Linked DNA regions of Anolis sagrei. The protein of the gene in region 1 purifies or fractionates together with the protein of each later gene. This does not show direct contact. Links are inferred from orthologs where the notes say so. Each region holds a gene or a part of one and is shown in the gene's direction. Other genes may lie near its edges.

Evidence for each region.
Region 2: the proteins of DERL2 (region 1) and FAF2 purify together in Homo sapiens (affinity purification with mass spectrometry; 5 studies listed by BioGRID and IntAct, counting the BioPlex papers as one, with this or other methods). This does not show direct contact. The link is inferred for Anolis sagrei from reciprocal best matches to the Homo sapiens genes DERL2 and FAF2.
Region 3: the proteins of DERL2 (region 1) and SELENOS purify together in Homo sapiens (affinity purification with western blotting; 3 studies listed by BioGRID and IntAct, with this or other methods). This does not show direct contact. The link is inferred for Anolis sagrei from reciprocal best matches to the Homo sapiens genes DERL2 and SELENOS.

The regions. Positions count from the first base shown.
Region 1 is NC_090031.1:30,188,981-30,192,733, reverse strand, and holds the start of DERL2 (derlin-2), read left to right. Parts: upstream 1-1,130; 5' UTR 1,131-1,155; coding exon 1,156-1,248; intron 1,249-3,753.
Region 2 is NC_090022.1:78,305,732-78,309,484, reverse strand, and holds the start of FAF2 (FAS-associated factor 2), read left to right. Parts: upstream 1-1,236; 5' UTR 1,237-1,284; coding exon 1,285-1,347; intron 1,348-3,753. Other genes in the region: zinc finger protein ZFP2-like, read right to left, coding at 1-428. UniProt on the Homo sapiens protein: Plays an important role in endoplasmic reticulum-associated degradation (ERAD) that mediates ubiquitin-dependent degradation of misfolded endoplasmic reticulum proteins.
Region 3 is NC_090029.1:22,354,944-22,358,696, forward strand, and holds the start of SELENOS (selenoprotein S), read left to right. Parts: upstream 1-805; 5' UTR 806-849; coding exon 850-928; intron 929-3,753. UniProt on the Homo sapiens protein: Involved in the degradation process of misfolded endoplasmic reticulum (ER) luminal proteins. Participates in the transfer of misfolded proteins from the ER to the cytosol, where they are destroyed by the proteasome in a ubiquitin-dependent manner.

The DNA.
Region 1 (3,753 bases):
ATATATATATGTATGTGTGTGTGTGTATATGTACAATGAAATTATACCATTATATATATTATGAATATATATAACATAATATAATTGTGTGTGTGTATATATATATATGTAAAGGTAAAGGTAGTTTCCTGACATTAAGTCCAGTCATGTCTGACTCTGGGGTGTGGTGCTCATCTCCATTTCTAAGCCGAAGAGCCGGTGTTGTCCGTAGACACCTCCAAGGTCATGTGGCCGGCATGACTGCATGGAGCGCCCTTACCTTCCCGCCGGAGCGGTACCTATTGATCTACTCACATTTGCATGTTTTCGAACTGCTAGGTTGGCAGAAGCTAGGGCTGACAGCGGAAGCTCACACCGCTCCCCGGAATCGAGCCTGCGACCTTTCGATCAACAAGCTCAGCAGCTCAGTGCTTTAACCCACTGCGCCACTTGGGGCTCTCATGAATATATATAACATAATATAATATAATATAATTTTGTGTGTGTGTGTATATTTATACACACACACACACACACATATATATATATGTATTTGGGCATATATGTGTGTATATGTACAATGAAATTACACATTTCATTGTACCATTACACATATTATATATATTGTGTATATATATAATATAATTGTATACATATATATGTATGTATTTATGGGTATATATCTATGTGTGCATATGTACAATGAAATTATACCCTTTATTATTATTGTCTCATATCCTCTACACATGCAGAATCAAGTACAGACTTACCCCAAAGGAGGCAAACCTTCAATCCCTGCGTCTGCTATACATATAAACAGGACTGACTTCCCACCAGGCCTGACCGGAATGGAAAGCAACGGCGTTCCCGCCCATTCTTGAAAACCTCGCCTGGCCACGCCTCCTCCTCTTTTTCCTGCCCATCCCGCGCTCCCATTGGTCCAGACCCAAAGCTATCCGGAGGTGGAGGCCTCCCATTGGCGGAGAGAGGGAACCAATGGGCGGCGGCGCGAGGCGAGGGGGCGGGGAAGGGCTGCGATTGGCGGCGCCGGCGAGCAAAAGGCGATTCTGATTGGCCGGGCGAGAGAAGCGGAGGGCTGGGATTGGCTAGACGGAGGGGAACACGCTTCGGGCTCCGATTGGCCGGGCGGAGGAGGGTGGGGCCACGCCAGGCAAGATGGCGTACCAGACTTTCCGCCAGGAGTACCTTCAGGTTCCGCCGGTCACCCGGGCCTACGCCACCGCCTGCGTCCTCACCACCGCCGCCGTGGTCCGTGAGTCGCGCCCGGAAAGGGATTGGGGGCGGAGGGAAGCGCGGAGGCAGGCCTGAGGGGGGAGGGAGGCCTGAGGGGAAGCTAGGCCGCAATCGGTTGGGGTCTTCGAAGAGAAATCGAGGGGGGATTGTACACTCAGGCCTCACAGAGAGGATTCCAAACGCCTCCTCTCAGCTTTCTCTTCTTCAGGCTAAACATGCCCAGCTCTTTAAGCCGCTCCTCATAGGGCTTGTTCTCCAGACCCTTGATCATTTAACAGCCCAAAGTCTATTAACAACACATTAATAATGATTATTATGATACAATAATAATAATAATAATAATAATATAATGATAATGATAGACCACACCTGGAATACAATTCTGGGCACCACAATTGAAGGGAGATGTTGACAAGCTGGAATGTGTCCAGAGGAGGGCGACTCAAATGATGAAGGGTCTGGAGAACAAGCCCTATGAGGAGCGGCTTAAAGAGCTGGGCATGTTTAGCCTGAAGAAGAGAAGGCTGAGAAGAGACATGATGAGGGCCATGTGTAAATATGTGAGGGGAAGTCCTAGGGAGGAGGGAGCAAGCTTGTTTTCTGCTGCCTTGGAGACTAGGACGGAATGGAGCAATGGCTTCAAACTACAAGAAAGGAGATTCCATCTGAACATGAGGAAGAACTTCCTGGCTGTGAGAGCTGTTCAGCAGTGGAACTCCCTGCCCTGGAATCTAAATACGTTAGAGGAAGTCATAGGGAGGAGGGAGCGAATTTGTTCTCTGCTTCCCTGGAGACTAGGACGCAATGGAACAATGGCTTCGAACTACAAGTAAGGAGACTCCATCTGAACATTAGGAAGAACTTCCTGACCGTGAGAGCTGTTCAGCAGTGGAACTCTCTGCCCTGGAATGTGGTGGGGGCTCCTTCTTTGGAGGTTTTTAAACAGAGGCTGGATGGCCATCTGTCAGGGTTGCTTTGAATGCAATTTTCCTGCTTCTTGGCAGAATGGGGTTGCACTGGATGGCCCACCAGAGCAGTACCTATTGATCTACTTACATAGTAGGCCCCGCGGGATGAGAGTGGGAGTAGGAGCAGGGGGACCCATTCCTTCCCAGCCCAGAGTGCATGTGCACCAGAATCAAGGCTTCCCTCCCTCTCCCTAAGCCATTCCCCTCCTTACAAAGCTTATCTGCATATTGGGGGTGATGGGAGTTGTAGTAGGAGGCTGAGAGGAGACATGATGAGGGCCATGTATAAATATGTGAGGGGAATATGTTATAGGGAGGAGGAGCAAGCAAGCTTGTTTTCTGCTGCCCTGGAGACTAGGACTCTTACTGGAGTATACGTCCCCGTCCCCCCCTCGTGGGAAAATTTGATTCCACATCTCCCACTATAATGAGCCCTCCTCCACAAATAATTTGTTTCTCTTTTATCTCACTCGAGTTTTTAACCAGTTTTAATTAGTTCTTTTAACCATTACATGTAGCCCACCCATTGTCACTGTGTTTATTGTAATTTTATATTGCTGTATATTCATATGTTTTATGTAATTATGATGTTGTTTATTGTTTGCGTTTTCGGTTTGCATTCGGTTGTTCTTTATTGTAATTGTTGTTTGGGCTTGGTCCCATGTAAGCCGCTCCAAATCCCCATTGGGAAGATGGTGGCGGGGTACAAATAAAGATTATTATTATTATTATTATTATTATTAGGACCCCATGGAGCCATGGCTGCAAACTACAAGAAAGGAGATTCCATCTGAACATCAGGAAGAACTTCCTGACTGTGAGAGCCGTTCAGCAGTGGAACTCTCTGCCCCGGAGTGTGGTGGAGGCTCCTTCTTTGGAGGTTTTTAAACAGAGGCTGGATGGCCATCTGTCGGGGGTGCTTTGAATGTTATTTTCCTGCTTCTTGGCAGAATGGGGTTGGACTGGATGGCCCATGAGGTCTCTTCCAACTCTAGGATTCAATGATTAACAGCCCAAAGTCTAAAGTTTCAGAGTCTAATGGAGCCTCTGTCTTCTTCCTAAAGCATTCTGTTTCTACTGACATCTAAAAGCATACTCCTTCTAAAATGGAGTCTGAGTCCTGAATAGTCCCAGGTCTGATCACATCGTCAGCAGCCCCTCCCACAACACAGAGTTAAGGAAAACTGCATACCAACACACACATATACAATATTGTAAGCAATAACAAACAACTAGTGGAGGCTTGAAGAAGGTTGCTATTTCAAACAATTTTCGTTCGCAAAGGCGCCAAAATGTGGAACTCCAAGCTTTTGTCAGAGATCATTCACATGGGTTACAAGAAGCTAGAGATTGAAGTAAAGGTGCAAAAGTGTAACAAACTTTTACAGTGAGACTATGACACAAAACAATGGCTTCAAACTACAGAAATGAGATTCCATCTGAACATTAGGGAGAACTGCAATGCAACCTGAGTCCTGCCACATGCACGATGGAGGACCTTCTTGCAGCAACACCAGAAGCGCTCCAAGTGGCCAGATACTGGTCAAAGGAC
Region 2 (3,753 bases), on another chromosome or scaffold:
CCGTCACTCCGACTGAAGCTTTTTCCACATTCCATGCATTGATACGGCTTCTCCCCCGTGTGAATCCTTTGATGGGAATGCAGACCATCACTCCAACTGAAGCTCTTTCCACATTCTATGCATTGATACGGCTTCTCGCCCGTGTGGGTCTTTTCATGGGAATGCAGACTGTCAATCCGACTGAAGCACTTTCCACATTCCGTGCATTGATACGGCTTCTCCCCTGTGTGGGTCCTTTGATGGAGACGCAGGTGCACACTCTGACTGAAGCTCTTTCCACATTCCACGCATGTATATGGTTTCTTCTCTCCTGTATGAGTTTGATGTTCAGTAAGAGAACTACTCCCCATGAAACATTTCCCACAGTCCATACAGTTATGTAGCTCCTCCTCTGTATGTGATGTGGAACAGGGATGGAAATTTTCCATTTTTTATTTATTTATAATTCACTTCACTTCATTTCTTAGTCGCTCCGAGCGACTTACAGTCTAAAATAGCATTTACACAATATAAAAAATTCAAATATTATGCCTGAGGTTCACAGAAATGAACTCCCGAACCGCACTGCTTTTCCTCTTCTCTGTATCTGTATTGCCTTAGTCTTCTGGTTTCTTTCCCAAGGCCCTCTTTTAACAGCACAATCCTTCCTTTCCTCCAAGTATGTCGCTTGAAATATGTCTCTCCTACTTATTCCTTGTTCGTGTCACTGCAGTGAGCCTCCATTTCAGTCCTAAGGCATCCCTGGGACAAAGCTCTCACAGAGTCTTCTTCACAAGGCGCGTTCAGGGGTTGATGCCTGCCACAGATACAGGCGAAACGTCAGGAGGGAATGCTTCTGGAACACGGCCATACTGCCCGGAAAACTCACAACAACCCGGTTACTTCCTCCTCTCCGCCGTCATTGAGGAATCCCACTTCCCTCCTCCGGAAGTGGTTGCTGTTATTATCATGGCATTATTATATTTATATCCCGCGTCATCTCTCCAAATAGCGACCAAAAGCGGGCGTGATTAGAAAGCACAGCCTCCAGAAAAGATAGGATGCCTGTCACGGGTTGCCACGCTGATTCATGTATGTATATGGAGAGAGGCATTCTCACCGCGGGGGCTTCTGGGAATTGTAGTCCCCGAGATCAGCTTCCCGCCCTCCAAGAAGATGTCCCTTCGTTGTCTCCTCCCCTCCGCCCCGCCCCCTCGGCACGTGCGCGTAGAAGCCAGCGGAAGTTTCGAATTGTCGCGTCACATCCGGCGAGTGACGCCATCGCGGGTCAGAGGCGGCAGGAAAATGGCGGCTCCAGAGGAGCGGGAGCTGTCGGCGGAGCAGACGGAGAAGCTGCTTCAGTTTCAGGTGTTGGCGCCGGGCGCGGAAGGCGGAGGCGGGCAGGGGGCGGGCGGGAGAGCCGAGCCAGCCGCCCGACGAGGTCCCGGGCTTCCTTAGTCGCCGCGGGGCCGAGGGGAGCAGGGCCGGCTTGGCCTGAGTTTGGGGCTGGAGGCGGGGCGGCGGCGGGGCCTAGCGCGGGTGGCTCGGTGTGGGAGAGGGGCCGCTTCATGGGAGCAGGCGGAGCCACCCATCGGCTGGGGCTCCCTCCCTCCCTCCCTGGGGTTAGGACCATTCCCCGCAGGAGTCACGCTAGAGCTTAGGCAGGGTTGATTTGCGGGGAACACTATCCTCCTGCCGCTGCGATCGAGCTGCTTCGACTGGTAAACAAGTTCGGAAAAATAGCTGATTTCGTTGCCTCTTACTATGGCATCAATAGCAGCAACTGTATCGCACGTAGGGATTGGTAAGCACCTCAACAGGAAATGAGTCAAGTAGGCTGCATTGGCGGAGGAATCTCTTAGTCCAGGGGTGTTATTATCTCTTGACCAAAACACAAAGCAGCTCACAACATTGAAAAAACCCAATACCATTTAATCCCCACAAACATACAAATGTTAAAATGGAATTAAATATAGAAATCAATTTCAATCACCTGAAAACTTCTAAAATAATCAAATATTCTACAGGACCACCCCCATAGAATCATAGAGTTGGAGGAGACCACGTGGGCCATCCAGTCCAACCTCCTGCCAAGAAGTAGGAAAATCACATTCAAAGCACCCCAACAGATGGCCACCTAGCGTCTGTTTAAAAGCCCCCAAAGAAGGAGCCCTCACCACACTCTGGGGCAGAGAGTTCCACTGCTCTCACAGTCAGGAAGTTCTTCTTCATGTTCAGGTGGAATCTCCTTTCCTGTAGTTTGAAGCCATTGTTCCACATCCTAGTCATCAGGGCAGCAAAAAACAAGCTTGCTCCCTTCTCCCTATGACTTCCCCTCACATATTTGGCTCTCATACATGGCTCTCATCATTTATTTATTTATTTATTTACTTTGCTTATATACCGCTGTATCTCAAGCCCGAAGGCGACTCACGGCGGTTCACAAACAGTAGAAACAGCAGTGGTTCCATACAACATATAACAATTGACTTAACACATTATCCATAAATTACCAATAAGCAATTACAATGCACAGTTATTACAAAAAACAACCGTACCCAATCTTCTCATCATCCAAGCGTAGTCCAGGTTCGTCGTCCATTGTTCCATTCCTATGTTCCATTACCAGATTGCACTAAATTACTTAAACGCCTGCACAAACATCCAGGTCTTCACCTTTTTGCGGAATACCATTAGAGATGGTGCTAGTCTAATGTCCGTAGGAAGGGCGTTCCACAGCCGAGGAGCCACCACCAGCCATCATGTCTCCTCATTTCTCTTCCTCAGGCTAAACATGCCCACCTCTTTAAGCCACTCCTCGTAGGGCTTGTTCTCCAGGCCTTTGATCATTTTGTCACCTTCTTGACACATTCCAGTTTGTCAACATCTCCCTTAAACTGCGATGCCTAGAATTGGACACAGTATTTCAGGTAATGTCTGACCAAGGCAGAATAGAAGGGTAGCATGACTTCCCTTAATCTTAAACTATCGCTCCCCAAGCTAGTGCTTAAAAATGCCTTCTGTAAAAGCATGAATGAAAAGGACAGCAAGGAAAGGACCATTCTGGCTTCCCAGTGCAGAGAGTTCTGCAGTTGAGGGGAAGGCCATAGAGAAAGCATTGTCTCGTCTTCCTACCAACTGTGCTTGCAATGGTGGTGGCAACCAGATAAGGGTCTCTCTTGAGGATCTCAGGGCCCAGGCAAGTTTATACAGGGAGATGCAATTTTCCAAAACCCTGGACCTGAGTCATATAGAGATTTATAGGTCATGATCTGCACATTGAATTGTGCCCTCAAAGAAAGTGGCAGCCAATGGAGCTGTTGCAACAAGGGAATTGTGTACTCCCTGTAGCCAGCCTGGGGTTTTATTATCATTATCATCATTTTATTCATGTAAATCCTTCTTTTCTCCCAGTAATTAGATTCAGGGCAACTAACAACATATTCAAAACAATTCCCCAACTGTTTGTCCCCTTGATATTTTCATAGAATCATAGAGTTGGAATAGACCACATGGGCCATCAGGTCCAACCCCTGCCATGCAGGAAAAGCACAATCAAAGCACCACCCGACAGGTGGCTATTCAGCCTCTGTTTAAAAGCTTTCAAGGTAGGAACTTCCATCTCACTCTGAGGCAGAGAGTTCCACTGCCGGACAGTTCTACAGTCAGGAAGTTCTTCATAATGTTCAGGTGGTATCTTCTTTCCTATAATTTCAAATCATTGCTCTGAGTCCTAGTTTCCAGGGCAGCAGAAAACAAGCCAGGTGATCATGT
Region 3 (3,753 bases), on another chromosome or scaffold:
GAGAGGTGTTAAGATGTGCCTGGTTGTTTCCTCTCTGCTGTTTTGCTGTTGTAATTTTAGAGTTTAATTAATACTGGTAGCCAGATTTTGTTCATTTTCATGGTCTCTTCCTTTCTGTTGTAATTGTCCACGTGTCCATTATTATTATTATTATTATTATTAATGCCTAAATTATTATTATTATATTTCCCTTTTCTTCTCCCTATGGATCCAGATAGGGAACAAGCTTATTAATATATATTTAAAAATAATATATATTATTTTCATGGTCTCTTCCTTTCTATTGAAATTGTCCACATGTCCATTATTATTATTATTATTAATGCCTAAATTATTATTATTATATTTCCCTTTTCTTCTCCCTATGGATCCAGATAGGGAACAAGCTTATTAATATATATTTAAAAATAATATATATTATTTTCATGGTCTCTTCCTTTCTATTGAAATTGTCCACATGTCCATTATTATTATTATTATTAATGCCTAAATTATTATTATTATATTTCCCTTTTCTTCTCCCTATGGATCCAGATAGGGAACAAGCTTATTAATATATATTTAAAAATAAAAATCACTACTATGGTATTCTCATTATGGTATTGACGCCTACTCATACAATCTCCCTTGTTAAATACTCAGCCTTGTCATCTAAATACCTCCCTTTCTTCTGATTGGTCCTGCTTCCTCACTTCCCGCCTTCTTTTCCCTTCCTCGCCACATGATTGGTTCAAGGATACCTACCCCTCTCATTGGACGAGGAAACGAATTCTGACGTCCCGCTTTCTCATTCGCTGGTGAAGAAGCCGTGACTCGGCAGCGGGAGGACCCGGATGTAAGTCCGGCAAGATGGCGGCGGATATGAGGCCTGAAGGCGGGGCGCAGCCGCCGTTGGAGCAGGAAGGCGCCCAAGTCCTTCAGCAAACCGGTGAGGCGCCCAGCCCGAGGCGGCCTTCTTCTCTGAAGAATTTGAGGTAGTGCCTAAGAGCTGGGTTGTTGTAGGTTTTTTGGGGCTATAGGGCCATGTTCTAGAGGCATTCTCTCCTGACGTTTCGCCTGCATCTATGGCAAGCATCCGCAGGATGCTTGCCATAGATGCAGGCGAAACGTCAGGAGAGAATGCCTCTAGAACATGGCCCTATAGCCCCAAAAAACCTACAACAACCCAGTGATTCCGGCCATGAAAGCCTTCGACAATACACCACCTAAGAGCCTTTTGCCTTCTGAAGGTGAAGCTTGTGTGGTGTTTCCTTGGGAAAGATTCGTTCTGAGGCAAACTTGGGCCCTCCAGGTGTTTTGGACTGCAACTCCTACAATTCTTAACAGCCTCAGACCCCTTTCTTTTCCCTTTCAGTTAAAACGCATTATCATACATATATGAAAGCTGATAATCTCTGCATTAAGATACAGTACTAAGAGAATGGACGTTTGAAATCCATCGTTTAAAATGGGCTGGGAAAGATAGGTCTTTGCTTGTGTTTACAATTCTGACAGGAGTTAAAAAGCATCAAGCGTCACTACAGTGTAGATCAGGCATGGACAAACTTGGGTCCTCCAGGTGTTTAGGACTTCAACTCCCACAATTCCTAACACAGGCATGTAGCCAGGGGGGGGGGCTCGGGGGGCTTCAGCCCCCCCCCCCCCCGAAATTTTCATGGTGGTTCGCAAAAAGGCCTTAATGGTGGATTATTTAAACTGTTATGTTTATTCATATCATGATCTGATCACCATACTCAATATATCCCATATGCATGGGGGTATTGGGGTAATGATACAAAAGGTTTGCTAGGCTAGACCCTCTTTCACTCAGACTCAGCCCCCTCCCCCCGAAATTCAGCCCCCCCGAAACCCCCCCTGAAAAAAAATTCAGCCCCCCCCCCCCCCCCCCGAAACGAAATCCTGGCTACGGGCCTGTCCTAACAGCCAGGAATTGAAGTCCAAAATACCCGAAGGGCTGAGGTTTGCCCATGCCTGATCTACATTGAAGGATCAGCGCTGTTCTATGACCTATTAAATTCTATGTAGGTCAGTGTTTCTCAACCTGGGGCTCGGGACCTCTGGGGGGGTCATGAGGGGGTGTCAGAGGGGTTGCCAATGACCATCAGAAAACATAGTATTTTCTGTTGGTCATGTGGGTTCTGAGTGGGAAGTATGTCCCAATTCTATCATTGGTGGAGTTCAGAACGCTCTTTGATTGTAGGTGAACTATAAATCCTAGGAACCACAACGTCCAAATGTGATGGTCTATTTCCCTCAAAATCCACCAGTGTTTACATTTGGGCATATTTAGTATACGTGCCAAGTTTGGTCCAGATCCATAATTGTTTGACTCCACAGTGCTCTCTGGATGTAGGTGAACTACAACTCCAAAATTCAAGGTCAATACCCACCAAACCCTTCCAGTATTTTCTGTTGGACATGGGTGTTCTGTTTCCCAAGTTTGGTTCAATTCCATCATTGGTGGAGTTCAGAATGCTCTGATTGTAGGTGAACTATACATCCCATCAACCACAACTCCCAAATGACAAAATCAATCCCTCCCCAAACCCATCAGTATTCAAATTTGGGCGTATCTGGTATGCCAAATTTGGTCCAGTGAATGAAAATACATCCTACACATCAGATATTACATTATGAGAATGCTCTTTGATTGTAGGTGAACTATACATCCCATCAACTACAACTCCCAAATGACAAAATCAATTCCCCCCCAAACCCATCAGTATTCAAATTTGGGCGTATCGGGTATTTGTGCCAAATTTGGTCCAGTGAATGAAAATACATCCTACACATCAGATATTTACATTATGATTCATAACAGTAGCAAAATTACAAATATGAAGTAGCAACAAAAATAATTGTATGTTTGGGGGTCACCACAACATAAGGAACTGTATTAAGGGGTCACAGCATTAGGGAGGTTGAGAAACACTGATGTAGGTCCTTGTCCAATAAACATGAGCTGTGTTTCTTTCTCAGGAGAGCAGGAATAGGATTGCTATCAAGAATCCATGAAACTCCCTTTCATAACCAGTTGGTGGAAAATAAGAAATAGGTGTGGCTAGCAGGTCAGGCCGCCCCCAAGTTGTAAACATGGGACTTACAAATGACTCCTAGTTAAGAACAGGGCTTAGACAACAGGGGGAGAAATATACCCCTCAGAAGGGAAACCCACTCCTGAAAGAGGAGTTATCATGGAGAAAAGGGGTCTCCATTGAAACTGTATCACCAATCCTTGTTTTTACAACAAGCCAAATTCTTCAAAATCCAATTATCACAGGGACAGAAAGTGAGCTGAAATCTCCTGAACAGGAGCACAGACAGCAAAGGAATCTCCGCATGGGTATCACTCATTCCCAGTGTTATCCTAAGCTTAACACATACACACACATACACACACTAGCTTGGGAACCCGGAGGTGCCTGGGTTATTAAAAGAAGGCATTGTTTGTTTCGGGATGTTAGGTAATGCCTCTAAAGTTTGGTACAGATCTGTTGTTGGCTGGGTTCTGTGCTCTCTGGATAAGGCTGAACTACGATTCCCAGGGCAATCACCACCCCAGCACCCCGAAACCCTTGACAGCATTCACGGTTGGCCATGTTGGGTCTGTGTGCCAAGCTTGATCCAGATGCGTCATTGGCTGGATTCAGGGCTCTCTGGATAAGGATGAACTATAACTCCCAGATCCAAAGTCAATCACTCCCAAACCAGGCCTGTATGCACAGTTGGCCATGTTGGGTCTGTATGTGAAGT